Oryzias latipes: one gene and its partners. The protein of the gene in region 1 purifies or fractionates together with the protein of each later gene. This does not show direct contact. Links are inferred from orthologs where the notes say so. Each region holds a gene or a part of one and is shown in the gene's direction. Other genes may lie near its edges.

The links.
Region 2: the proteins of aar2 (region 1) and tssc4 purify together in Homo sapiens (affinity purification with mass spectrometry; 3 studies listed by BioGRID and IntAct, counting the BioPlex papers as one, with this or other methods). This does not show direct contact. The link is inferred for Oryzias latipes from reciprocal best matches to the Homo sapiens genes AAR2 and TSSC4.
Region 3: the proteins of aar2 (region 1) and eapp purify together in Homo sapiens (affinity purification with mass spectrometry; 4 studies listed by BioGRID and IntAct, counting the BioPlex papers as one, with this or other methods). This does not show direct contact. The link is inferred for Oryzias latipes from reciprocal best matches to the Homo sapiens genes AAR2 and EAPP.
Region 4: the proteins of aar2 (region 1) and ttc27 purify together in Homo sapiens (affinity purification with mass spectrometry; 3 studies listed by BioGRID and IntAct, with this or other methods). This does not show direct contact. The link is inferred for Oryzias latipes from reciprocal best matches to the Homo sapiens genes AAR2 and TTC27.
Region 5: the proteins of aar2 (region 1) and snrnp200 purify together in Homo sapiens (affinity purification with mass spectrometry; 5 studies listed by BioGRID and IntAct, counting the BioPlex papers as one, with this or other methods). This does not show direct contact. The link is inferred for Oryzias latipes from reciprocal best matches to the Homo sapiens genes AAR2 and SNRNP200.
Region 6: the proteins of aar2 (region 1) and c9h9orf78 purify together in Homo sapiens (affinity purification with mass spectrometry; 3 studies listed by BioGRID and IntAct, with this or other methods). This does not show direct contact. The link is inferred for Oryzias latipes from reciprocal best matches to the Homo sapiens genes AAR2 and C9orf78.

Annotation. Positions count from the first base shown.
Region 1 is NC_019865.2:15,451,661-15,455,815, reverse strand, and holds the start of aar2 (protein AAR2 homolog), read left to right. Parts: upstream 1-1,355; 5' UTR 1,356-1,625; intron 1,626-2,182; 5' UTR 2,183-2,317; intron 2,318-2,552; 5' UTR 2,553-2,609; intron 2,610-2,939; 5' UTR 2,940-3,080; intron 3,081-3,177; 5' UTR 3,178-4,155. UniProt on the Homo sapiens protein: Component of the U5 snRNP complex that is required for spliceosome assembly and for pre-mRNA splicing.
Region 2 is NC_019861.2:37,264,295-37,268,264, reverse strand, and holds the start of tssc4 (protein TSSC4), read left to right. Parts: upstream 1-1,170; 5' UTR 1,171-1,267; intron 1,268-3,127; 5' UTR 3,128-3,197; coding exon 3,198-3,956; 3' UTR 3,957-3,970. Other genes in the region: shcbp1 (SHC SH2 domain-binding protein 1), read right to left, coding at 830-962. UniProt on the Homo sapiens protein: Protein associated with the U5 snRNP, during its maturation and its post-splicing recycling and which is required for spliceosomal tri-snRNP complex assembly in the nucleus.
Region 3 is NC_019880.2:24,339,498-24,343,515, forward strand, and holds the start of eapp (E2F-associated phosphoprotein), read left to right. Parts: upstream 1-1,218; 5' UTR 1,219-1,348; coding exon 1,349-1,428; intron 1,429-1,741; coding exon 1,742-1,920; intron 1,921-3,228; coding exon 3,229-3,327; intron 3,328-4,018. UniProt on the Homo sapiens protein: May play an important role in the fine-tuning of both major E2F1 activities, the regulation of the cell-cycle and the induction of apoptosis. Promotes S-phase entry, and inhibits p14(ARP) expression.
Region 4 is NC_019873.2:9,673,386-9,676,885, reverse strand, and holds part of ttc27 (tetratricopeptide repeat protein 27), read left to right. Parts: intron 1-2,809; coding exon 2,810-2,990; intron 2,991-3,500.
Region 5 is NC_019867.2:18,376,549-18,380,756, reverse strand, and holds the start of snrnp200 (U5 small nuclear ribonucleoprotein 200 kDa helicase), read left to right. Parts: upstream 1-1,408; coding exon 1,409-1,453; intron 1,454-2,158; coding exon 2,159-2,322; intron 2,323-2,620; coding exon 2,621-2,792; intron 2,793-2,879; coding exon 2,880-3,072; intron 3,073-3,166; coding exon 3,167-3,222; intron 3,223-3,376; coding exon 3,377-3,475; intron 3,476-3,558; coding exon 3,559-3,711; intron 3,712-3,791; coding exon 3,792-3,891; intron 3,892-3,984; coding exon 3,985-4,121; intron 4,122-4,194; coding exon 4,195-4,208. UniProt on the Homo sapiens protein: Catalyzes the ATP-dependent unwinding of U4/U6 RNA duplices, an essential step in the assembly of a catalytically active spliceosome. Plays a role in pre-mRNA splicing as a core component of precatalytic, catalytic and postcatalytic spliceosomal complexes.
Region 6 is NC_019867.2:17,116,366-17,120,330, forward strand, and holds c9h9orf78 (telomere length and silencing protein 1 homolog), read left to right. Parts: upstream 1-1,165; 5' UTR 1,166-1,261; coding exon 1,262-1,341; intron 1,342-1,507; coding exon 1,508-1,567; intron 1,568-1,656; coding exon 1,657-1,708; intron 1,709-1,802; coding exon 1,803-1,873; intron 1,874-1,982; coding exon 1,983-2,060; intron 2,061-2,332; coding exon 2,333-2,530; intron 2,531-2,619; coding exon 2,620-2,756; intron 2,757-2,835; coding exon 2,836-2,943; intron 2,944-3,198; coding exon 3,199-3,299; 3' UTR 3,300-3,870; downstream 3,871-3,965. Other genes in the region: NFU1 iron-sulfur cluster scaffold homolog, mitochondrial, read right to left, coding at 1-31, 1,045-1,103. UniProt on the Homo sapiens protein: Plays a role in pre-mRNA splicing by promoting usage of the upstream 3'-splice site at alternative NAGNAG splice sites; these are sites featuring alternative acceptor motifs separated by only a few nucleotides. May also modulate exon inclusion events.

The DNA of each region.
Region 1 (4,155 bases):
TTCTGCTAACATGAGGCATCATGCTAGAAATAATGTATTTTTTTTTCTCTTTTCTACGCCGCACCCGGTATAATCCCACTCCCCAAAAATAAACACAAATTGTTTCATTTGTCTCTCTTTAGTTCTAATTTTGACCTGAATGCTCCTATATTTCTTATTAGCATGAAGCCATGAAGGTTCAAAGAGCTTAGAAGTATCTTTGAACTTATGGATCACCAAGGATTAAGTAAATAAACAGAAATATGAATTCATTTTTTAGACTTTGTTTCTGTTATAATCAGTGAGACCAACTTTTTCCTCTGACAATGACACCCCTTTGTATTGTTCAGGGAGTCTAGATAGAGTTAGCTCAGACCTTCTTTTTTGTTGAGGTTCATGTCTGTTCTTAAAGTTTCTGGCCAGAAATTAGCGCATGCATTCCCGTCCCCCTGTGCAAAAGACCCAATCCTGCTTTGCCCTGCAATTTGAAAGAAATCTGTAAAACTTTACGCAATAGAGTGTGCAAAATGACAATGTAAAAACTCCATGTTTGGTTTGTTCAACTTTTAATTTTTGTGTCTTTACTCCCAAACAAACAATGCAGACCTTCTGAAGTGAATGTTTGGTTGAGGGGAATTCTGACTCCAAACTCAGTGAGACAGACGATGATCTGCAAATGATGTTTTCAAAGTAAGGCTAAACATAGCAGCTACAATATTCAAGAGAAGTCTCTTCATGCATCTAGAAAAAGTTTTTTTTAAACTTTTGAGTCTCAATTCAGCAGTAATTATCTGGTGAGATCTTAAATTACACTAATATCTCATTTAGATTTCATGAATAAAATTTGCATTTGTTCCACAGGATTAGACAGTTCTCAAAGTTTCTGTCATTAAATGACAAAAAAATATTTCTCAAACTGAATTAAATGCTGATTCTTGTATTTTTACATCAATGCAGCTGAAATATAACTTTCTTTCTATAAAAGTGTTTTTCAGATGTCAGAATAAAATGTGAGAATATGGGAGAACAAAAACTTTCATTGTAGGAAATGTTCTGCTGGACCAGTTCAGTTACCCCCACCACCCCCACCCCCGCAGTCGGTTCCCATAGTTGTTTATTGTTATAAAATGTGGTTTCTCATTTTTTTTGTCTAAATCACAAATAAAGGGTTTCTTTATTTTATCATTCAACCATAAACTAGACCTCTAAACTTTTATTCATTAATACCATTATTATTAGAAAGTAACGCTAGTTGATGAGAAGAAAAGCTTCTCTTTTAGTGTCCTATCTTCCAAACGAAACCGAAAGCACAAAGGCAGATGATTGATTGCAGGAGTTTCCTCGACCTGAACCGACTGGAATTTGATGAAATCCTAAACCCAGCGTCAGTAGTCCATGACGGGGAGGAAATTGAGCAGCAGCAGCAGCAGCCTGGGTGATGCTGGAAAGACGCAGCGCTGCGTCGGCTGTGACTGACCCCGCTGCAGCTCTGACCTCTGCACCTGAGAAAGTGTGCAGTGCAGACAGTACCGAGAGGAAGCAGAAGGATAATGAGAGCAGCTGGAGCGTTAATTCCACGAACCTGCAAGTCACTGTCAGACATAGGTTTGCTCGTCTGAGGATCCTGCTGAAGAGCATAATAAATGGTAAGCGCACTGGTGCGTAATTACGCACGCACAGTGACAAAGTGAGTTGTTTTAGTGCTTTGATGCCAAAGCAGAGATTGAGAATTAAACCTGAGACTCGGACTTGAGTCTCACTTCAGTTTCAAAGGCAGGGATTTAAGACTTGAAAGCCTATTTAAGACTGAAACCTTAACTTCAAGAGCATCAGACTAGACTTTGAGGACTTGAGAACATTCTTAGTTTATTTTTAGTTTTACCTTAAAAAAAAAAAACAGATTGAGGTCTAATATTTTTGTGCTGTATGTGTCACTATTAGGTGGTTTAAAATACTGTAATGACATTAGTGAGAATCACACATTTTTAAAAATAATTTCCAACATTTTGGATTTGACTTGTAACCAAAGACTTAAAACCAGACTATGACTTGGGAAAAGTGGATTTCAGAGCATTTTAATGCCAAAGTCTGTGCACTTTGTCTTTCTGTCATGTGATACAAAGATGCCCAGGAGCCGAGTGATTTTATTCAGTCTTCACTGGGCTGCATTTAAGGTACTTCCACACCTCTTTCTTTTATGCAGTGTCTGACCGGAACTCTACTCCACAGTGTCCTGGTGGTTCTCTTGTTGGCCAACTCATCTGGTAAAAGTAAATGTAACTACAAAGACATACTGGGCTTCTACAGAGAAGTCATCTTCGTTGAGCTGCAGAATCTGGTATGACGACCAAACTGACCGCAAAATAAGAATTTCAATGTTTGTTTATATTCAACAGCCTTTTACCTACAGCTGACACTAAGAAAAGTGTTGGAATATATGGTTAGAGACTGCCCTCCAGTGTTTGTTTTGCAACACACACACAAAGAAAAGCCTCAAAACGAATTTTCCCACACTTTGAATGAGATGAAACTGGATTTCTAAAATAATATTTTTGATGACTAATGTTTTTCAGAATTTGACTGTTTCTCACAACTCATCCAAAGGGAGAGATCCCTGCCCCTCTGCAAAGGTGAGCATCAATGCTATAGGTACATTAGATGTAGTTTGGTGGCTGTAAAACGGAAATCACACACACAACAAATGCAGTAAACGTAGTAACAAAAATGGAAACAAATTACAGAAAACTGTTAAAATAGAACATTTAAAAATATTTTGCTTTAAAAAAAAAAAAACAATATTAAAAGTAAAAACAAAAAAACAAAAAAGGAGATTTCTTTAACCCTGATGTGACATATTTGTTTAGTTTGGCAAGTTTTGTCTACCCAAATACTTGCATTGTTTGTTATCAAGGTCTTTAAATGCTGTCTGTTTTCTCCTTTTTCCTGCCATCTCATGGCAGGCACATCGCATCCTTGTGTCCATATACATTAACACACAGCAGGTCCTCTGTTTGAAGAGCGGCAAGAAGCTGTCTGACCTGAAAAAGCCAATAGAAAACATGGAGCAGCTCATCGTTCAAAACTGCAGTCCTAATTATATGGTGAGAAAAAGTACCGATGCAGATCTTTGAAGTATGCAAAAAAACTTAAAAATCTGAACTAATTTATCTTTTTTTTCTTTTTTTCTTTTACTTCTAGGGAAAGAAAAACCCCTGTTCATCTGCCCAAAAAATACAAGGGAGAAAAGGCAAGAGATTTAGGGTGATCAAAACCATAAAGGCATTGATTAGATGTTGGGAAAAACTCAAAAGTGTCGTACCCTCTGATAAATAGTATGACTTTGGTCCCTAGGACCCGTGCTACTCTATGCACTCAAATTTCCAGATGGTTCTTCCAATCTGGTCAAGATAGACTTTGTAAAAAAAAAAACGGCTTCCTCTTTTATTGGAATGCTCAAGTTGTTTTATTCCTCCTTTTTTTAACAGTTGTCGAGATCTCCGAGTTTTGTGATTAAAAAAACGCCATCCACTGCATGTCAGCATTCCTCTTTGCAATATGAATTGTTTCCTAATAAGCCAAGATAAGCTAAAAAGTATTCACTCACCATTCAGATGTTCTCCAGTAAAATATGCACATTTTCATTCTTTGTAGCATGTTTTTTTTGAATGACATATTGACATTATACATATTTCCTGTCTTTTTTACTGTAATTTCATTTAATAAAATACTGAATATTTATTAATACTTTTATTAGAGAGGAAATTGTTGGTTTTGTTGTTTTTTATAAAAGGAAATCTTAAAGAGTGGAACTGTTCTTAAAAAGAATGTTTCCGACGGAACAAATAAGGTGTTACGCAGCGTCCGCCAGTGTTTACAGCCGAGAGTCCGCGAAGCGAATTCGCCACGAATCTGAACATTATCGTAAAGTAGCTTTTGTTCTTTGCATGTTAGTAAAAAAAAAAGTGCGAAGGGCAGTTCTTAGTCAGAATTATACTCTTTTCATTGTTTGTTTTCGTAACATTTACAGCGACGCAGAAATGCGTTTTTGTTCCTTAACAACACTCCCCTGAAGCAGCTTCTTCACTAGTCTGTGACTGTCTGTGGGACGTTCTGGGTAATCCTTTCCAATATTCAGGACACTTGTATTTTATTTTAGGAGGTTATTTGTGACACAAA
Region 2 (3,970 bases), on another chromosome or scaffold:
CTGTTAATGCTTTTTTAAACTTTGAAGGACTTTAAAAAAAATGTTTGCATTGATTTAACTCATTTATAAAGTTATTTTGCTATTTTAAAAAATATGCTTTCAACTCTAATTTTAATAATAATTTCATAGGCATTTTAAATGTTATTTTTGTCCTTAATTGCTGTATTTTTAGTAAGTTAACAGGTTTTAAGGCTTTTTCCGGTCCTCCTGTGTCAAAATCCTCATGAAAGCAGATATTTTCTCTTCTCTTTTATTTAACAATCTGTTAAACAACTTCATAGAATCAACAAAAGAGTCACAAATACTGTGTCTACATACACAAATAAATGAATTTATTTACACCCCCGTTTTCCAGGTGTCAAACTCCAGGCCTCGAGGGCCGGTGTCCTACATGTTGTCCAACCAACCTGCCATGAAGCACACCTGATCCAGGTAATCAGTAGCAGATAAGGCAGGATATCTTAAAAAAAAAAAAAGAAACAGTCTGACACCCCTTTTGCGGTCTTCTATAGGTATATTTTGTTTTTGTAATAACATAATTGTGTTATTTGTTTATTTCAACATCCGTTAATGTCTACTCAGATGAGAGTGAAATATAATTATTTGTCGTATTTGGGTTAAGTTTGGAAAATCCTGCAAGATTGACAGTTCCGAGAATGCAGCTCAGGCTGACGACATATGAAGACGCTGCGTTCACAGACCGCCGGAAACTCGGATAAAAAGTCTGCTAAATCTCCAAGCTAGCAAACCTCGACGGCAGCGGTTAGCTTGTCTCATACACCGACTCGGAGGAAAGAAAACTCAAACCAAAAACGGTAACGTAACAAACCTTGCGCTACATCCAATAAACCGGGTCCCGCGGAGCAAACGCTGTCCGTCTCGACCTGAGGATCCAGATCGACCACCACCAAGTCCGACACGTCGCTGACGGTACACCCGGTTTCCAGGGCTTCGAACTCCATTGAAACGCTCGCCAGAGTCTCGGTTTAACGGGATTAAATGAGGATCACGCGGCACTTGGAGCTTTGAAACAACAAGCGGAGTTCTGAGCCCACGCCCTGACACTTTCAAAAGATCCCGGTCTGCTGCAGCTCAGCCAATCACAGCAGGGAGCTATATAAAGACCCGCCCTTGTTTTTTTACATGCGCGGATCGGCTCGGTCTGCAGTACCACAGGACAATCGTTAGGGGGCAGTAATGACGTAAACATTACACGATCTACCGTAGAAGAAGAGGGTTTCGGCCGGCGGTCTGCGCTATTTCAAAGGTACAAACGGGATTTAAGTCAAAACTACGCGTATTATATAAATATTTGTCATGTAAACAACAGCGCATTTCGCAGCTCTTTTCGGCTAGACAGCATTTTTGTTTTGTTTATAAGCATTTGTAACGTTGTTAGCATGTCGCGCTACTACTAGCATCGTGCTACTTAGCATGCTAACTAACTTCAGTCTGAATCTTGTTTTTACGAAGTCAATATTCCGAGTTATTTTTATTTTTATTGCCAATCTTTTTAAATAAAATCAAAACAAAAGCTTTAGTTTTTTAGGCACAAAAAAAATTCATATATGAGATGAAACAGATGTTTTAATTCATGCGCTGTTAAGGCTGATGATCATGATGATGTTATTATTGTTGTTCGCACGTATTTTTACTAGAAAACAAAGTTATGGAAAACATATTTAAAGTTAAAATCCCATTAACTGTGAGAAAATTGTACTTTGATCCTGGAGGAGCGGAGAGCTGCAGAAACAGCCGCTCAGGAACCAGGGGGGTATTTTCTTTATTTTTAGCTTTTTTTTTAATTGAAAAAACACTTGAGGTTTACAATTTGTAACAATTGTATACAATTATGACAAGTATAGAAAAGTAGAAAAAGTACAGGACATGAACAAACAACATAGGCAGGATAAAATAAAAATATAACAATAATACCGAAAAAAAATTAAATAAAAGAAATTAAAATAAAAAGGGGGTCACATAGACATTTTAATGATTCTTGACTTGGGGGGTTCTCAAAAAGCTGCAAGTTACATATAATACTTTGAAGTTCCATAGCAAGTTTGATTTCCATGAAGTTTGCAGATGAAAAAAAGAGCAGAGTTCTTTATGAAATGTAAAAGAATATGGTTGGATTTCAAGGAATTGACATTTATGTATATAGAATTTACCCAAAATAATTACAACATTTAAAATAAGTTCTGTGTTTTTTTGTTTTTTAAATTAAACCCAAAAATGATGTCCTTAATAGAAAAGTCTGCTAAATGTGGGATTTGGGGGAAAAGCCAATAATTCCAAAAGACATTAGAGTCAAAACATTCAAAGAAAAGATGCTCAGTTGTTTCAATGTCATCATGACAAAAAGAACAGCAGTTTTCAGGAATTCCAAACCGTTTTCTTAGTAATTCCTTGGAAGGGTAAAATACCTGAAAAGGTTTTAAAATTGACTTCCTTGGCTTTAGGAGGGATGGGGAGTTTGAAATATTTGGTTCGTATTTGTTTCTTTTCTGAATTATTGAAATATTGGGTTATATAATTTGAATTTGAGATGTAGGGAAAGGACGTTTCATTCAAATATTCTCTGATTTGATGGTTGGGGAGTTTGAGTTAGGGTTACCAAGTCCAGCGTAATTACACTAACTCAAATCTGGTCATACCGACATACCCAGAGTAAGCAAGTTCAGGCGGATTTCAGCCAGAGTTCAGGCTTAAAGTCAGGCTAGTTTAAACGTGCTTCCTGGATACCTGCCTGAACTTACCGAAATCCTAACCTTGACCCTTCCTGTGGGTCCGTGCAGCCAATGACAACGTTCAGCACTGGCTGCACGTGCGCATTCTTGTAATTATTGACCTTTTATTGGGTCATTATTTCAAAACATTTATTTCAAGTTTGTTTTGAATTGAACAGAATTAGGACTTAAATAATTATGCTTGCTTTTAAAATGGATGTAAACATAGAGGATCATTATTATTTTACAGGTTATTTCCAAAACCCTCATATTTACTGTTGGATGCTCGGTGGTCCGTCCTCACAGGTCCTAGCAGCTTGTTGTTGTTTTGGTAGATGTTAAAACCAGTCCATGCAGGTTTGATGGGGTGGCCTGACCTTTGGTGTCTTCCTCTACAGTTTTGGGGTTCCCACCTGACCGGGTTTGTCTTCCTCGCGGCTCGGGGTTCGGCTGCAGCCGCGGCTGAAGATGTCGCAGCAGAAATGCGTCCAGAGCTGCGGCGACGACCAAGAAGGCTTTGAGCTGTCGGCCAGTGACGAGTCGGAGCCCGAGGAAGAGCTGAGCCGGGCGCCCTTTGACCCGGAGCTGGATGACAGCGACGACGGGGGCGAGGAGGCGTGCGCTCTCGGCGCCACCCGCTCAACTGCGAGCACGTTCGTCTTGAGCGGAGGGAACTCTGCGTTCTCCGACCGCAGCCGCAGCGTCTTCGACTGCCTGGATGGCGTCGAGAGGCAGACGGCACCTCTGCTCCCCGAGGAGAGCATGCCCCCTCCCAAATGTCCCCCTCCTGCAAAGAAGAGGGGGGTCCCGGACTACCTGCTGCACCCTGATCGCTGGACGCGCTACAGCCTGGAGGACGTGAAGGAGACCACTGATCAGGAGAACCGCAGGGCGGCGCACAACTTCCTGTCCAGTCTGCGGCCTGAAGAGGGCAACCGCCCCCCCGGTGAACCCCCCCACGACCAGCAGCAAAAGGTGGTCTTCTCTAAACCCAAACGAGCGTTCAAGGAAGAAATCTCTGAGTCAGACCAGCAAGGAAAGGAGAAGAGACTGCACCTCAGTCACCTGGCTGAGGAAGAGGAGGAGGACAACAAGGCTGCTGGAAAGACCCAGCAGGATGCAGAGGAGGTCAGAGACCAGCAGGAGTCCCTCCCCAGCTTCACCCCCTTCAAGAAAATGAAGAGGAAGAGCTACAGAAGGAGCTCGGATCACAAGGATGAGTGCTAAAATGCTCGATTTGA
Region 3 (4,018 bases), on another chromosome or scaffold:
GACCTAGAGGAGCACAACATAACAGTAAAGTCTTTTTGCCCTGACTTTAAATTAACACCAAAAACACCAAAAGAGTGTCTCCATAAAAAATAACATTTATTTACAAATTAATAAATACCGATCGACAATAACTAAAAGGTGAAGCAAAAAGGCTTCAGGGTGAACCAAACCCAAAATAACAAACAAAACCCCACCTGACTGAGATCTGAAATCTTACCTGTGACAAAACAATAACCTCCGTGGAGACAGGTTGCAGCAAAGCTCCCTTCTGGCAGGCTGGGGGTCCACATGCTGCTTGTAAAGGCTGCCTCCATCAGCTTGGGTCCAAAAGGAAGCCACACCCTTTCCAGCACCAAAGTAATCAGACAGACACACAAAAACCCACAAAACACAGAAGTCCCACTATGATACAAAAAAGACAGAACAAAAAGAACAAAACCGAATACGGCCACAGCCATAACACTGGAGGTCCAACAGGATCTTTGCCCTCTCATTCTCTACCACTTCAGAGGTGTTTCCCATTTTGACTTTATGGTTTCCAGTTCATATTCTGCACACATGTTCCTGTATATTATTCCAGCCACTTGATTGTGGCGCTCCATGTATGCTTTCCCTGCCAGTATCTTACACCCTGCAGTTATGTGCTGGATTGTTTCAGGCGCCTCTTTGCACAGCCTACACCTTGGGTCTTGTCTGGTGTGGTAGATCTGAGCCTCTATTGCTCTGGTACTCAGGGCTTGTTCCTGAGCTGCCAGGATGAGCGCTTATGGCTGAATAATCTTTTCACCTCTATTGTCCTTTTCAAGTTGCATGGGTTATCCTTAAACTAATCTTGAAAAACTTTTTATTTAATGCTTTTTGAAGTCTATAGTTATCATTATATTTTGGGGATACATAAAAATATATAATGTTTGAAAATTTTCTTAATTATTTTCATGTTATACCTACTGTTAAATCCAAACAATAATTAATTTCTTCTTTTTTATTAATTTTACTTTTCTAATCTTTTAAATTTAGCTTCAGCATTTTAACCTGACCGATTTTACTATTAAATTGTGGCTTTAGCAATAAATAAATTTATTTTTATTTGTTTCTTTTGTTTTATATTCCACCTACTTTTATTTTTTAGTTCTGAAATGAATTTCCTTTTAGATAGTTGAAGTAAAAATGATTTTAAAATGTTTCTCCACAAGAGGGCGGTAACGAGTTTTCCAAGTGCTTTTACCACCATAGAAGAAGAACCGATGCCGAAGAAGAAGACATACGTCAGACTGGACAGAGTGTAGACCAGTTTCGGGATAAATCTTTCCCGTTGTTTTGTCTTCTGAGAAAGTTTAAAATTGTTAAAATGAGCAAGTTTAACGGACCGGTGGAAAGTGAGGCTTATGAAATCGATGAGCCAAGCGACGAAGAACGCGCTTCGAGCAGGTATGATGTAAACAGACGGTTAGCTTCATGCTAGCAGCACGAGGCTAACAACAGCTGAAAGCAACAAAAACGGATAAAAACATTACATGTTTATGATTTGGTTTTTAATGATGTTTTTGATTTTAAAGGTAGAATATATGCAGGATAAACCAGTTCCTAGACGTTTAATTTTAAAGTTTGAATCAGGTTTTAGACCATGATAAAAGAGACGCAATATGTCGCATTTTGGCGCTGTGTTTTGCTTTGCTTCATGATCGTCATCATGATGAAGGTTTCCAAAAGTCCAGTTTTGAACAGAAACGCCTGTCTTCAGCTCCGAGGACGAGCTGGACGTGCTGCTGAACGGGACGCCGGACCAGAAGAAGAAGCTGATCCGGGAGTACCTGACCGGGGAGAGCGAGTCCTCCAGCGGGGATGAGTTTGAGAAGGAGATGGAGGCAGAGCTGAGCTCCACCCTCAGGACCATGGAAGGAAGCTGGGCCCCTGCAGCCGGTAACCCGTAACACGCACAGACACACACAGGGCCCTTCCAAACACAGAAACACCAAGCTTTTGTACAAAAGAGAGCTGCTTGTTGTTTTGAACCACTTTACCACATTGGAGCCACCAGCCCCAACCTCAGCCGCCTCCCAGCATCATCATCAGCAGCAGCAGCAGCAGCATAACTGTCCGTCTCTCCTTTCAAAACCATCTCATTCTGCTTCTAGAGCCTGATCTGGGGGGTATTCCAGAAAGCAGGTTATGCTAGTTACCACGGTAAGTTTGAGGCTAAGGAAGTTGATACCCTCAGCTTTCTGTTTTAGAAATGGAGGTATGCTTCAGGGTAGGTCAAGTTGCCATAGTAACTCATGCTCTGAACATAACCTGGTCTGGAGCAGGTTTAGTTGAAGCTTAGTTTGTTTTCAGAGAGGTGAAGCAGCATGGCGTGTCCATTTGAAGATGATTTAGTGGATGAAGAAGCTCAGATAATACTTTTTCCACCATTGTTCTCCACGCGTTTCCATGGTTACTCCGTAAATCGGCGATCTATTGAGAATGTCTTTATGTACCTGCTGTGCACGAGCATTAACCCAGGGTTACCAAGTCGAGCGCAATTACGCCAACTCATACCCGGTCTTTTGGAACCGACATACCCAGAGTAAGCGATTTCAGGCGGATTTCAGCCAGAGTTCAGGGTTAAAGTCAGGCTAGTTTAAACATGCTTCCTGGAACACCCCACAGGTCTTCTGATGTTTCCATTCCTCCATTCAGTGCAGCTTTAAAAGCTGTTCTTCTCTTTAGAAGCTGCAGACTTTAAGGTCTGAGCTGTAATGAACAGTCAGATCAGTGACCAGCATGGGAGGATTTGTAGATCCAGACAGGTTTCATGCAAAACTCAAAAACAATAGTTTTGACCTGATACCACTCATGTTTGGCTTCTTTACTTTGTTTTAATTAATAAATCATACAAACATTAGAAAAAAGATATATTTTAGAAATACTGTTCAATTTAAAATAGAAAAATGCTCTTTTAATACAATGTACTTGCTATAGTAGAAAGTCAAGTCAAACCAGCCGGAGTCCACAACCTCTCATCCACCAGAACCTTCAAATCCTCCACAATTCCAGGAGAAATTGAATGATTAGTTTGTGTTAAATAAAAGTCCCAAAACAAACCAATAGTTTGTAAATTTTGAATGTTTTTCTGCAAAGGCAGCTCATCAGCTGTTCTCTGGAGGGGTTGGTCTGCTTCTGTATTAATCTGACTGCAGACGAAGGTTTCAGGAGGGATTGCATGTGAAGGTTTCCTCTCTCCTGCAGCAGAAACTGGAGGAGGCAGCGAGGTTGTCGGTTCCTCCAACCCTCAGATGTACGACAGCGTTTACTTTGACTCTGATTCAGAGGAGGAGGACACAGCTGGTAAGACGCACACTGACGCGGCGTGAGCACGGGCATGCTAGGTTCACACCGCCCACGGGAATCCGCGTCTACGCCACTACTTCCAACGAGTCCAAGTCTATGTAAACGCTTGTAAATGCGCATTTCCGGCTTCTTCGGTCAAAACTCTTTTGTTCGTGCATCTCTGCGCGAGTCTTGATGTCTGTTTTTGTACAAAACCTGCACCCACTGAACGCACTTTGAAAGTTAAACCAGTTGAACTTTGACCAATCAGAGAGTCAGATTTGGTAGTGACGCATGCGTAGCATCCTTTTTAATTCACCAAATGGGCTAACTGGTTGAAAGGTGATCAAGAAGGAGAAATTCAAAATGTGCAGTTTGTGCCCTGCCAGAACTACATGACACACCAAGTCTTTCATAAACCGGAATCGAGCCGTGAAAGAAAACGCCTGGAGATTTGCACCGCTTTGAATTTTCCTCCCAAGCCTCCTCCAACTGGAGGTGGTGGACGTGTTGGCGCCCGTCCACTGTGAACACCATATGACAACGCATGTCCAAGAATGTGTGACACGTCTGGTGTGAACGTAATTGGGAGTGGGAATTGGACTAGGAATATTAATGTTAGCGGTTGACCGTTGTACCACCATGCCAGAAATTCTGTTCTAGTACATACATAGAATAATTCTCAGGGTTTGAATGCACGTCATGAAAT
Region 4 (3,500 bases), on another chromosome or scaffold:
AACAGAGGCTTTCTTTCTACAAATAACTTTTTTGGCTTTACTTTGGATTTTTTGAAGACAACAGTCCCATAAAACTGCAGGTCTCTTCTTCAAACAAGTTGTGTACAATCTGTTGTTTCGCTAGTTTGAATACAGTTAAGTGTGTGAGTGTTTATTCCTTAGCCAGATAACCCTGACACAAACTCTTCACGCAACCAAAGGGAAGTTGTTCTTTGCTTTTGCCCAGCAAAGAGTCTGTAGTTGTTTGAAGTACTTGTAAGATGTTTTGAGAGTCGGGAGCCAGTGCTTAGGTGTTGGAGAACTAAAGAACTGACTCCAAAACTAGCAATGGAACCAGTTCTGTCAAGAGGGACTCAGATGTTGATGCTCGGCACTAGAGTTGCCACAATTCTCAGTTTAAAACAGATCTGGTTGTTACACCACTGAACTGAATTGTGGAGACAGCGAATCGTTGCATCCCTTCTCCATACCTACTTCATACCATTAGGTGTTGCGCTATATTTAAGAAGAATATATTTTTTTAGTATTTTTTACATCAGGCTTAGTAAAAGCCAACATCATTGTTACTTGCTAATTAGCTAATAAAAAAAAGGCTTATCGGAAGTTTTAGTTTTTTGTTGTTGTTTTGTAACACAAATCATATATAATGAACCAAAACAAAACTGTGACCCAAAAATTGAGGTTTGAACCAAATTGTGAAGCAAAATGTATTGTTGCATCTCTAGCAGGCTTCGGGATGTTTGTTTTTGGATAGTGGAGGGAAGGATAACGACACCCAAAGTTAAATTGCTTTTAGTTTCACACAGCTGTTAAGATCCATAATGTTCTGCAGAAAGGTGCCATCAGTGGTAGCTGCACTTGGGAACCAATTATGGATTTAACCCCTGATCCAACTCTTAGTACTGCTTAGCAAGCAAATAGGCATTCTATACTACTGTCTTTGCCATTTTCTGACTATGGAATTGAACCTTCAGTTCCTGTCTCTCGGGGTGGAAAACTTTATTAAACCATGTCAGCTGTGACTTCCACATTGTCCACATGTAGCCCCAGAAATGGACAGACCCAGTTCTGTACACACTGCTTCCTTTTTGAAGTTGACCATTGCCTACGTGACCTTCATCAATTGTTTGTAGTTTGTCCCTGTTGAATTCTGCACATACTCTCCCAGACTGTTGGGTGTCTTTGGTGAGCTTGTTCTGCACGATTCAGATGGATTGAAAGACAGAATCTATTTTCATGCGTCCTTTCTTGGGCTCTTGCAGACTTGATATCACCCGCATTTGAGAAAGATAAAGTAGAGATTTATTTAGTCTAAATAGTGTTAATGAAGCTGCGGGATGTGTGTTCTGCAGACAACTGATGACATCATCCTGGATCTTTGTTGGTATTCCAGGCATGCCTGTCTGTTCAAGGAGTTGCTTCTTCCTGGGATATAAAGCGACGTCCTTTGGTTAGAAAACATAAGCGCCTTAGTTTTAGCACGCTTTCCTCTGCGGCTCAGTACCCCATCGCTCCCTTTGCTTTGTCCGCTGGGGAAAACAAAGCAATCGGTGCAAATGAACCAACCAGTCTGGCATCTAGTAAGAAGCTGATCGAAAAAGGAGTTAAACAGAGCATTTGAGCCACGCCATTATTTCTGGTTGGGAAGCGGTGGCCCTGCAGCTGCCCTGCTATAAATCAATGTTTTTGTTTTTTTTGCCATCACTTCACACATGGGTCTCTTCATCTGGCTGCCTTCAGCTCAGTCAAGTTCACAGTAACATGGAGCAACATGATAATCTGCAGGGAACAGTCTCTGTCCTTACTGACTTAATCACAATAGGAGGCGGGATTAATGATGAGTACACAACAAAACAAACGAGGGCAGATTGATGGAGCTGTGAGGACGTTGGTGTTTATTCTGTTGGCTGATAACTAGCTTTGAAAACTTTGAAGGACATCGAAAGCTGTAAAGCTGAAGGCTTTCCAATGTCAGTCCAAAATGTTACCTCTAAATGTGAAGACAAGCGTGATGGTGCCCGCTCTGTGTGCTGCAGTTTTAACCTTCAGACTTTCTTCCAAATCCAATGACACAAGCGGAATTAGCTCAAGATGAGAATCAGTGATGATGGCTAAAAGGGAGAAGGGTTTACAGGCTGAGCTTCATCAAGTTTGGCATCAGAGGGGAGACTGCAGAACTCAGGAGGACGCCATTGTCCTTCACATATAAACCTCATCTAGGAATAAGTTTAATTCATTTTTTATTTTTATTTTCAAAAGCACAGAATTGGAAAAATAAAAAAGATTGACCGTATTTTCACACTATTGAGCGTAGTGGATTAAAAGGCGCATCGGCCATTTTCATGCATTTCATATATGAGGTGCACATTGTTTGCAACATGTATTTTGACAGCACCGTTTACTTGGCAAAACTCCTTCGACACAAGTGAGCACAACCAGAATTAACCTTAATACTTTGGGTTATAAAGTGCACTGTTGTTTAAGAAAATAAATAAGGGCTTTTAAGTCTAGCTTGTAGTGTGGAAAAAATGACAACTGAAAAGGACTTGGAGAACCTATGGCCTTTTGGTTGCTTTGTTTTTTTTGAACGTCTTTCTCGTTGTCAAGAGAAAATACATTTAAACTTTTTAATGTGTGTGGATAATTTGCATTGTAATTCATAAATACGGAACTACTGCAATTTATGTAACATTACTTTATAACCAAGGCTCTAATAAAAGACTTAATTTAACATATTCAAGACTTAGTAACTTTTCAAAGGAATTTTTTGGAGTTTCAGTGAACCTTTGCGTTTCCTGTGTTTCTGTAGATGCCGGTTCTCTGCTGCAGTCCTTGTTGGAAGGAGATTTTGAAGCGGTTCTGCTGAGCCCACAGGTGAAAGACTTGCTCACAGGAGACGGCTCCTACTATGACGAGGACATCCAGGCTTATCTAGAGAGACGAGTGCTGCTGTATCTGAGTGATGCCTCCAATGATGACCAGAATAGCAGGTAAAGTGAATCCAGTCGGGCAATGGCTTTCTGTTTGCGATCGTTTTTTAACATGAGTGATTACACTGTTTGTCAAAAAGCTTTAATCTTCACCTCCTAGCTGCTGTGTTTTTTAAGGATTGTCTATATGAATTATGGCTCAGGAAATGTTTTCGCACATACGTTTAAGGCTCATCTGTCGGACTCTTTTAGGCTACGTTCACAATGCAGGGCTTAATGCTCAATTCCGATTTTTTTTTTTTTGTTGTTGAAAAAATTCGATTTTTTTTCTTAAGGCCGTTCACCTTTCTACGACGGAGTTTTAGGGTCCACGGTGAGGGAAAAATATTCTGGCCAACATGACGAGATTAAAGTCGTCATGTCGACTTTAATCTCGTCATGACGAGAAAAAACTGTCAACAGCGGAGCTCTTTACAATTACAATCTTCTCATTTTAAGAAGGCAATGAAGCCAGGATCGTCTGTACCCACTGTTGTGGAATGGGGATGTGTATGTGCTGTGGCCGTGCAT
Region 5 (4,208 bases), on another chromosome or scaffold:
AAAGGCTTTATGTAAAAAATAAATACTTTTTAATTGAAGGTTTTAAGTCAACAAACCTTTCAGATTGAAGCAAAATGTTTTTCATGTACGAGATTTATGAGAGTCTGTTCAGATTGGAGACATTGAAAATCAGTATCAGATTTATGTGGGTACCATCACATAGGTGGTGGAGGGAAATGAAATAGCTGATTTTTGTGCAAAGCAGGCGTTGAAACGGTGCGTGGAGATAGAAATTTCGTTGTTAAAAGGCGTATTATAGAAGACTGGCAGAAACAATGTGAAAGGGAGTGGAAAGAACAACATCTATTCAGTATACAAGACAAAGTAGGGAAACGTATCCATCTTACATCAAACACCAGAGATCAAATAGAAACAGAAAATATCTTTATTGTCATTGTACATGTATAACGAAATTACAGTGCAATTTCTTCCGGTGGAATAAAAAAAAAAAAGTCAAATAAAAATAAACTAAAACTGCGAAACAAGACAATATAAGATAAAAAAAATGTATTAAAAATTTACAAAAATATAAAAAGGAGGTTACATGTTGTCAAGGTATTGCACGCTTCCCTAATAAATTAACTTTATTTAGCAGCGTTTAAGGCCACGATGGCTCTCGGATAAAAGCTATTTTTTAATCTGTTTGTCCTTGTTTTAATTGTCCTGTATCTTCTGCCCGAAGGCAGCAGCCGTTCAAATCATGATATCACGATCATGGATGGGACACACGGCTTTAAATACTACACTAGATTTACTAGGGAAACATCCCACTGGACTGTGTGAATGCGGGAAAGGGGAAGAATCAGTGGAGCACATTTTGTGTTGCTGAATTATATTGGGAAGAAAGGTGGCAGCTGGAGGATAGTGTACCATTGCCAGAGGAAGAGGGGTAGAGTTTGATGAGGCTTTTGGGAGGGGGGCAGAATTTCAATGTTGGTCTATTGAGGAGAATATAGGGTTTTTTGTTGTCTTTGTAGTCTTTGTAGTTGTCTTTTAGACCAGTTGTACCCCACTCCGACTCACACTCCAAGTAGGTGGCGACATTGCACCAGGTCGTTTGTGCCTCCCGCTATTAAGACCACAAGAAGAAGAAGGAGAAGAAGTTCTGCGCTAGAGGGCGCTGCTTCGTTTCTATTTCAGTTTTTCTCATCGTTTGACACCGGAAGAGGAAGACGATCGCTGTATGTTGTGCGCTCGTGCTAGCAGCAGAAGCATTGTTACGTAGGTGAAACGCTTTTTCGTGCGTGAAACTTGTAAAGACTTTGAAAGCTGGTTTATGTGTAAAGTCTGAACACCGTACCAATGCTCAGAGTTTTACCGTGAAGAAAGCAGAGCAAACTCAACTCCGTGGACCCGGCGGCCTGATTCAGAACGTGTGGTCAGACGACGTTGAAAGAACGGCTCCACCATGGCGGATGTTACCGCTCGTAGCCTGCAGTATGAGTACAAAGCGGTGAGTGAGGAATTCAACTAAGTTTCTGAAAATCTGTTTACATACTGACATGGAACAAATCAAGTCATTTAATATTTTTATTTTTATCTCGCCATCATGCGCGTGTAGCCGCTTCCTCGGTTAGCCACGACACTTTGCGCCAAAGAAAAACAATATATGACATGTTTCTAAATAAAATACGCTTACTGAAAAATTATCAATTTATGGAATAAACAAAGCAAAGTTACACTGCGAATGGCGTAACACTTCAAAAGTTAGTTTCCTTTTAACATTGTGGATAAACATCTGCGAATCGATACTTTCCTCGTCATCTAGATTTTTATTTAATGCAAACTATGATTTCGTACCCCCATAACTTTCTTAAAAATATATAGTTTAAATCATTTAAAAGGAAGATAATCCCAGTATTATTGTTGTTTCTATAAACAAATGTAGGAGGAGGAAACTGACTCGCTTATTTATTTGAGGTTGTGTGTATATTATGTGTATATAGTGTGTATGTCTTTTCACAACTTTGACTTTTGTTTTCTTTTTCAAATTGCTACTACCTGTAATACTTGAGGCATAATTAAAAGTATTTAGCAGGATTCTTAATTCATGAATTAAAAAAGGGGATAAATACAGTTGAAAGGGCTAAAGGGATTGTCTATTGCTGTACTGATAAATCACACCTTTTTTTTTCACCTTTTTTTTTTAACCTGGTAGAACTCAAACTTGGTGTTGCAAGCGGATCGCTCTTTGATTGACCGCACACGGAGAGATGAGCCCACCGGAGAGGTGCTGTCCCTGGTGGGGAAGCTGGAGGGGACCAAGATGGGTGACAAGGCTCAGAGGACCAGACCTCAGAACCTGGAAGACAGAAGAAACAAGTCAGTTCAGAATAACGCACACCAGGTTTTAGTTTACATTTGGCCGTGGCACTGTTGGCACCATAGGGTGCTTTGTCAAGCTGACAGTTGAGAATTTCAAGTAGAAAATGCTTTAGTTCTTGTGCAAAATGGTTAAACATAGATGAGATGGTTTGTATGATACTGTTGAAATAATTTACTAAATTTAATATTTTCATCTTGTTGGTGCATCAAAATTTGTTGAACTTGTTGTATTAAGATGTATTCATGTTAAAAGTAAAACACGCTAACTGGTTTTTTCCTTGTGCTGTTAACTTAGGAGACGAAAAAGAGATGAGGACAGGCATGACATCAACAAAATGAAAGGTTTTACCCTTCTGTCTGAAGGCATTGATGAAATGGTGGGCATTGTGTACAAGCCTAAAACCAAAGAAACCAGAGAGACTTATGAAGTGCTGCTAAGCTTCATCCATGCAGCTCTAGGAGATCAGGTGAGCCAATCAAATGTGGGCTCTTGTTCAAAATTGTGTTAAGTGCTGAAAGCTGATGTCCTGCCCCCCCTGTGCTGTTGTCTGCAGCCACGTGACATTTTGTGTGGAGCAGCTGATGAGGTACTAGCGGTACTGAAAAATGACAAAATCAGGGATAAAGAAAGGCGACGTGAAGTGGAGCAGCTTCTGGGACCTTCAGATGACACACGGTATCATGTGTTGGTCAATCTTGGAAAGAAGATCACAGACTATGGGGGAGACAAGGAATTGCAGAATATGGGTAACTTTTTGTGCATAAGATCTGTCACGTTTGTCTCTGAATCGATGGGTGTGCGTAACTGAAATAATCTGAACCCTTTGTTGTTTCTCCACAGATGACAACATTGATGATACGTATGGTGTCAATGTACAGTTTGAATCTGATGAGGAGGTGAGCTTTTTTTTGTCTTAAATTGATGGTTGTTCAACCAATTAAAGCTCAGCAATTATCAAATATTTTCTTGACTGAATTTTGATGAAAAGTTTGTATTCAGTCTTTGGGTTTCACAGTTTGAACCAGTTCCTGATCTTTACTTATTTTGTAGGAAGGGGATGAAAACCCGTTTGGTGAAGTGCAAGACGAGCAATCCGATGAAGACAGTGAGGGAGAGGAGGCGGTTGTGACCACCACACTCTCTGCCAATGTCAGTGGAACAGCTGCATCCTCGTCTTTTCCAGTGTCACATCTTCTCATTTGTTTCTCTAAAATCGCTTTTTCTTCATGTAGCTCGGCGAAACAGGTGACGTGATGACGGTGAAGAAAAAAGATTTACATCCTCGGGACATCGATGCCTTCTGGCTCCAGCGTCAACTCAGCCGTTTCTATGACGATGCCATCGTGTCACAGAAGAAAGCGGACGAAGTCTTAGAAATCCTCAAAGTATGTTTACCGCCTTGCCTGCTCACAGTAGATTCTCTAATCATTCCCAGGTGCGTTGATGTCTCCTTTTTGTGTCACAGACAGCCAGTGATGACAGAGAATGTGAGAACCAGCTGGTGTTGCTGTTGGGTTTCAACACTTTTGATTTCATTAAAATCCTCCGTCAGCATCGGCGCATGAGTAAGAGAAATGATCTAAATCAGATTCATTTTCTGTTTTTTGTTTTTGTATGTTTGTTTGTTTATAGCTGCTTTTTCCATCTCTAACCCACAGTTCAGTATTGTACAATGCTAGCAAGCGCTCAGAGTGAGGCAGAAAAGGAGAGGATCATTGGAAAGATGGAGTCTGATCCGGAGCTGTCAAAGATTCTCTACAAGCTGCAAGAGACGGAAAAGGAGGACATCATTCGAGTTAGATTTGTTGTTTGTTAAAGAAACATTTAGTCTTTTGGTTTGTATAATAAAAGTAATATTTTTTTATTAGGAAGAACAATCTCG
Region 6 (3,965 bases), on another chromosome or scaffold:
TCCAGTGCTTGGACAGCCGCTGCCAACGAGCCTAAAATTCATAAAAAAAACAAAACAGAAAAACTTTAATGACAAACAACAACTGTTATAAATGTAAACATTTCAGGTATGTTTAGTGTTTGGGAAGAACATAGTGATTGACAGTTGTTGTCGCTCTTTTTTCTATGGGGTTTAGAGAAACTCGAAATTGCAAAAGAATTTGCACGTACGTAATGTAAATTTGGCAAGCTGATTTAAGTACGTGTACATATTAAACTGCAACGTTATTGACGCACAGGTAGAGAAGAAGCGGAGTGACTTTTTAGCCAATCAGAATGCAGAACACAATGCACGATGCAAATCCGTGAAGTAGCGAAACCGTGAAAAGTACACCGCGTTATAGCAAGGGATCACTGTATACAAAAAAAGCATAGTTAGGAGATTAATGAACAATCTAAGTGTTCAAATATAAAGTAAATAATTCATATTAATTCTAAATCTCTTCTTGTTTTTTGCCTTTACATATTTTTGAAGTGTTAAAATTGTAGAATCACAGAAGCAACAGCCTCCACATAAAATAAAAATCATTGTTTTTTTTTAATAGACATTTTATTTGTCACACACATATACATCTATTGTATGTGTGCAGTGAAATGTATTGCACGACTGAGGAATGATAACGATAAAAAGCTAGATGACTGAATAGAAAACAAATTTCAATAACAATCCAGCTTACTTAAGGTCACAAAAGTTTAAAGTGTCCATTATGTGGTCTAAATGTCTATAAAAGTGAAGTTTGCACGTGCATTTAAATGTTTCTCCAGACACGGCATCTAAAAAACCGGCTATATTTTTTATAGATACGTTCTGTTATTTGTAAGAATGTTTTGGAAATCCTCAGTGAGTGTGAACAGTTCATTTGTGTCATGCGACGCATGCCATGTATGTAAGTGAGCCATGTCATTAAATGTAACCGCTTTCATGTCCTCTGTGTTCATACACACATTCATACATGAATTACGAGAAAGATTAATAAAAACAGAAACCCAAATGCAAAGCACTTACGGCCTTAAAAGTCTCGCTGAAACGCCCAGCAACCTTCCAAACTGTGCGTACGCCGCCATGATTGTTATGGTTAGCTAAACAAGACGGAAATGTGGATTGCGCAAGCGGAAATGACGTAAGTATTTTGTTCATCTGTTAAAGTGTTCCCCGAGACTGCTAACGCGAAAGTCGGTTTTTGTAAAGCTCTGCGTTATAAGGAAACCGATACAATACAAAAATGCCTTCCGGTAAAAATTTTAGGAGGAGAAGGGACTCATCAGATGACGAAGAGGAAGATGAGACAACCGAAGAAGTCAGGTGAGTTAGTTAGACGCAAACTTGCGCCAGCTACTGAGGTAGCCAGCCTCCGGCTAACGTCGTTGTGTCTGTTCATGATTTTTTTTAAACTACATCTAAATTTTAAGATTTTTATTGGAACAAAAGTTTACCACTTCGAATCTGTGCTTCTATCTTGTTTGCAAAGATCAAAGCTAGAGGAGGCTAAAGAAATCCAGAGTTTAAGGAAACGTCAAACCGGTGTCAGGTAATCATTATCACTGTTGTTTCTCGAACTCAAAATATTTTTACCAGATGTACGTGAGTTAAAAAAAAAAACGTGTTGTTATTCTTTAGTGTGACTGCATTACTCGTTGGAGAGAAACTTCCACCAGAGGCTGAAATTGATGTACGTATGGTCCGGATGTTCCTAACACTGCACTGCATGTCTGAGTCACAACAGCAACAAGACTTGTGTAACAAACAATCACTGTTTTCAACAGAATGACCCGTTTAAGCTCAAGACAGGAGGCGTGATAGACATGAAAAAGGTGAAGGATAGAAATAGAGACATGTAAGTAAAATGTTTTTTTATTTTATTTTTTTATATTCTTATTCATTTTATGAATGTCTTACACAGCTTGCCATTCTGTACATAATGCATTGTTTTTGGTTGTTTTCAGGACAGAAGATGAGACGGAGCTGAATCTGGGTACATCCTTCTCAGCTGAAACTAACAGAAGAGATGAAGATGCAGACATGTAAGGACTCGCTGTACAAATACTATAAAACTTTAATGGCCTTATCCACACCTTTTAAAACAAACACTTAGAAAAAAACCAAATCCATATGAGGTATTTTGGAATCAGAGCTCCTTAGACTGTGATTCCATGATGTTTTATCATCAGCTATTAGAGTTTGGTGCATTGCTTGTTGGATAAATGGCCCCATATACGAATGCCTCAAAACTCTCCCTTTTTTTGTGCATAAAGATTTGTCATTGCAGAAATAAGTCTTGAATTTCTTCTTACAGGATGAAGTATATTGAGACAGAGTTGAAGAAGAAAAAAGGACTGGTGGAGGCAGAGGAACAGAAAATCAAAGTAAAAAATCCAGAGGACCACCTCTACGAACTTCCTGAGAACATCCGAGTCAATTCTGCCAAGAAGACGGAGGAGATGTTGTCCAATCAGATGCTGAGTGGGATCCCGGAAGTTGACCTTGGCATTGAGTATGTTCAGGAAGCTGCAAAAATGATCCCTGCTTTAACTCTTCAGGAGGTTTAGTGTGTGCTTAACCTGTTTGTGATTGCTTTTCTAGTGCAAAGATAAAGAATATTATCCAGACGGAGGAGGCAAAAGCAAAGCTTATCGCGGAACAAAGAAACAAGAAAAAAGACAATGGCACCTCATTCGTGCCCACTAACATTGCGGTGAATTACGTCCAACATAACCGCTGTAAGTTCTGGAAGTTTAACTAGGAAAAAAAAAAAAACTGACTCTGAGAGTAACTTGAAAATTGTCCTTTTTGTTTCAGTCTATCATGAAGATTCAAACGCAGCACAGAGGCATCACAGACACAAAGAACCAGAACCCAAACCAAGACCACTGCGTGTGGGTGACACAGAGAAACCAGGTCTAGAAGGTATGACACTTCACTTTCAAGTGCTAAGAGAAGACCGTTTTTTTGTTTTGGTTTCTTATTTAGTCTTTCTAAGGTAATAAAATAAAACAAGGTTTTTAAGAAAATCATTACATTTATTTTAATTTAACTTTACAAATAATCTCACCTCCTTTTTATTGTTTTATATTTAGCCTGTAGATATTCTCTTAAATCTTTGAGAAATGTAAACTAAAAGCTATATTAATTAATTAAAATTTGAAATGACACTGTCTTCAGCAGCTCCATCTCCACCCAACTTCCGCAAACGGCCGAACAACGAGAAGGCCACAGATGACTACCACTATGAGAAGTTCAAGAAGATGAATCGAAGATATTAAAAAAGATCCAGCTTTTTACCGAGTCCAGCAGAGTTATTGTCAGTCGTGACATGGTTATTAGTTTAGATAATTCACATTTCTTTGCTGTTTCTTCCGATTTAGTATTTGGTCAATTGTTTGTAGAAACATCTTCCCCTGTATTTCGTAGATAAAAACAAAACCTCAATGCTAATGAGCATTTAAAATCTTCACACTGAAACCAAATCTTCCTTCAGTCCTGCAACAATTTGAATACCAACAGCATCATTAGTATTAAGAAACTTTAACATACTTTACTTGCTGATCAGTTTCTCAAATTAATTTTTAAAGCTTTTTCTGCTCAATTTATTTTCGATGTACATAACTTCCTGTTCCTTGAACTGTTAGAAAAGATAAAACCATTAACGATGTGTTCTTTTATTTTGGCTAAAACATAACAAAAACATTGCTTGTTAGGTGTAAATATTTAGGTCAAACTGTATTCAATGTTCAAAGATTCATATTTTTTAAATCTTTTTCTTTTCTTTTCTGTGAAGTTTATTAAGTTACCATTGAAAGATGTGTATGGACAATAAATGGGACTTTCAAATCCAGTTTCAAATAAGATCAATGTAACACCACAACCAAAGGTTTAATGAAAACAAAAAAATGCTGCTGTCACAGAACAAGAGTTCTGTCCATGTCCAA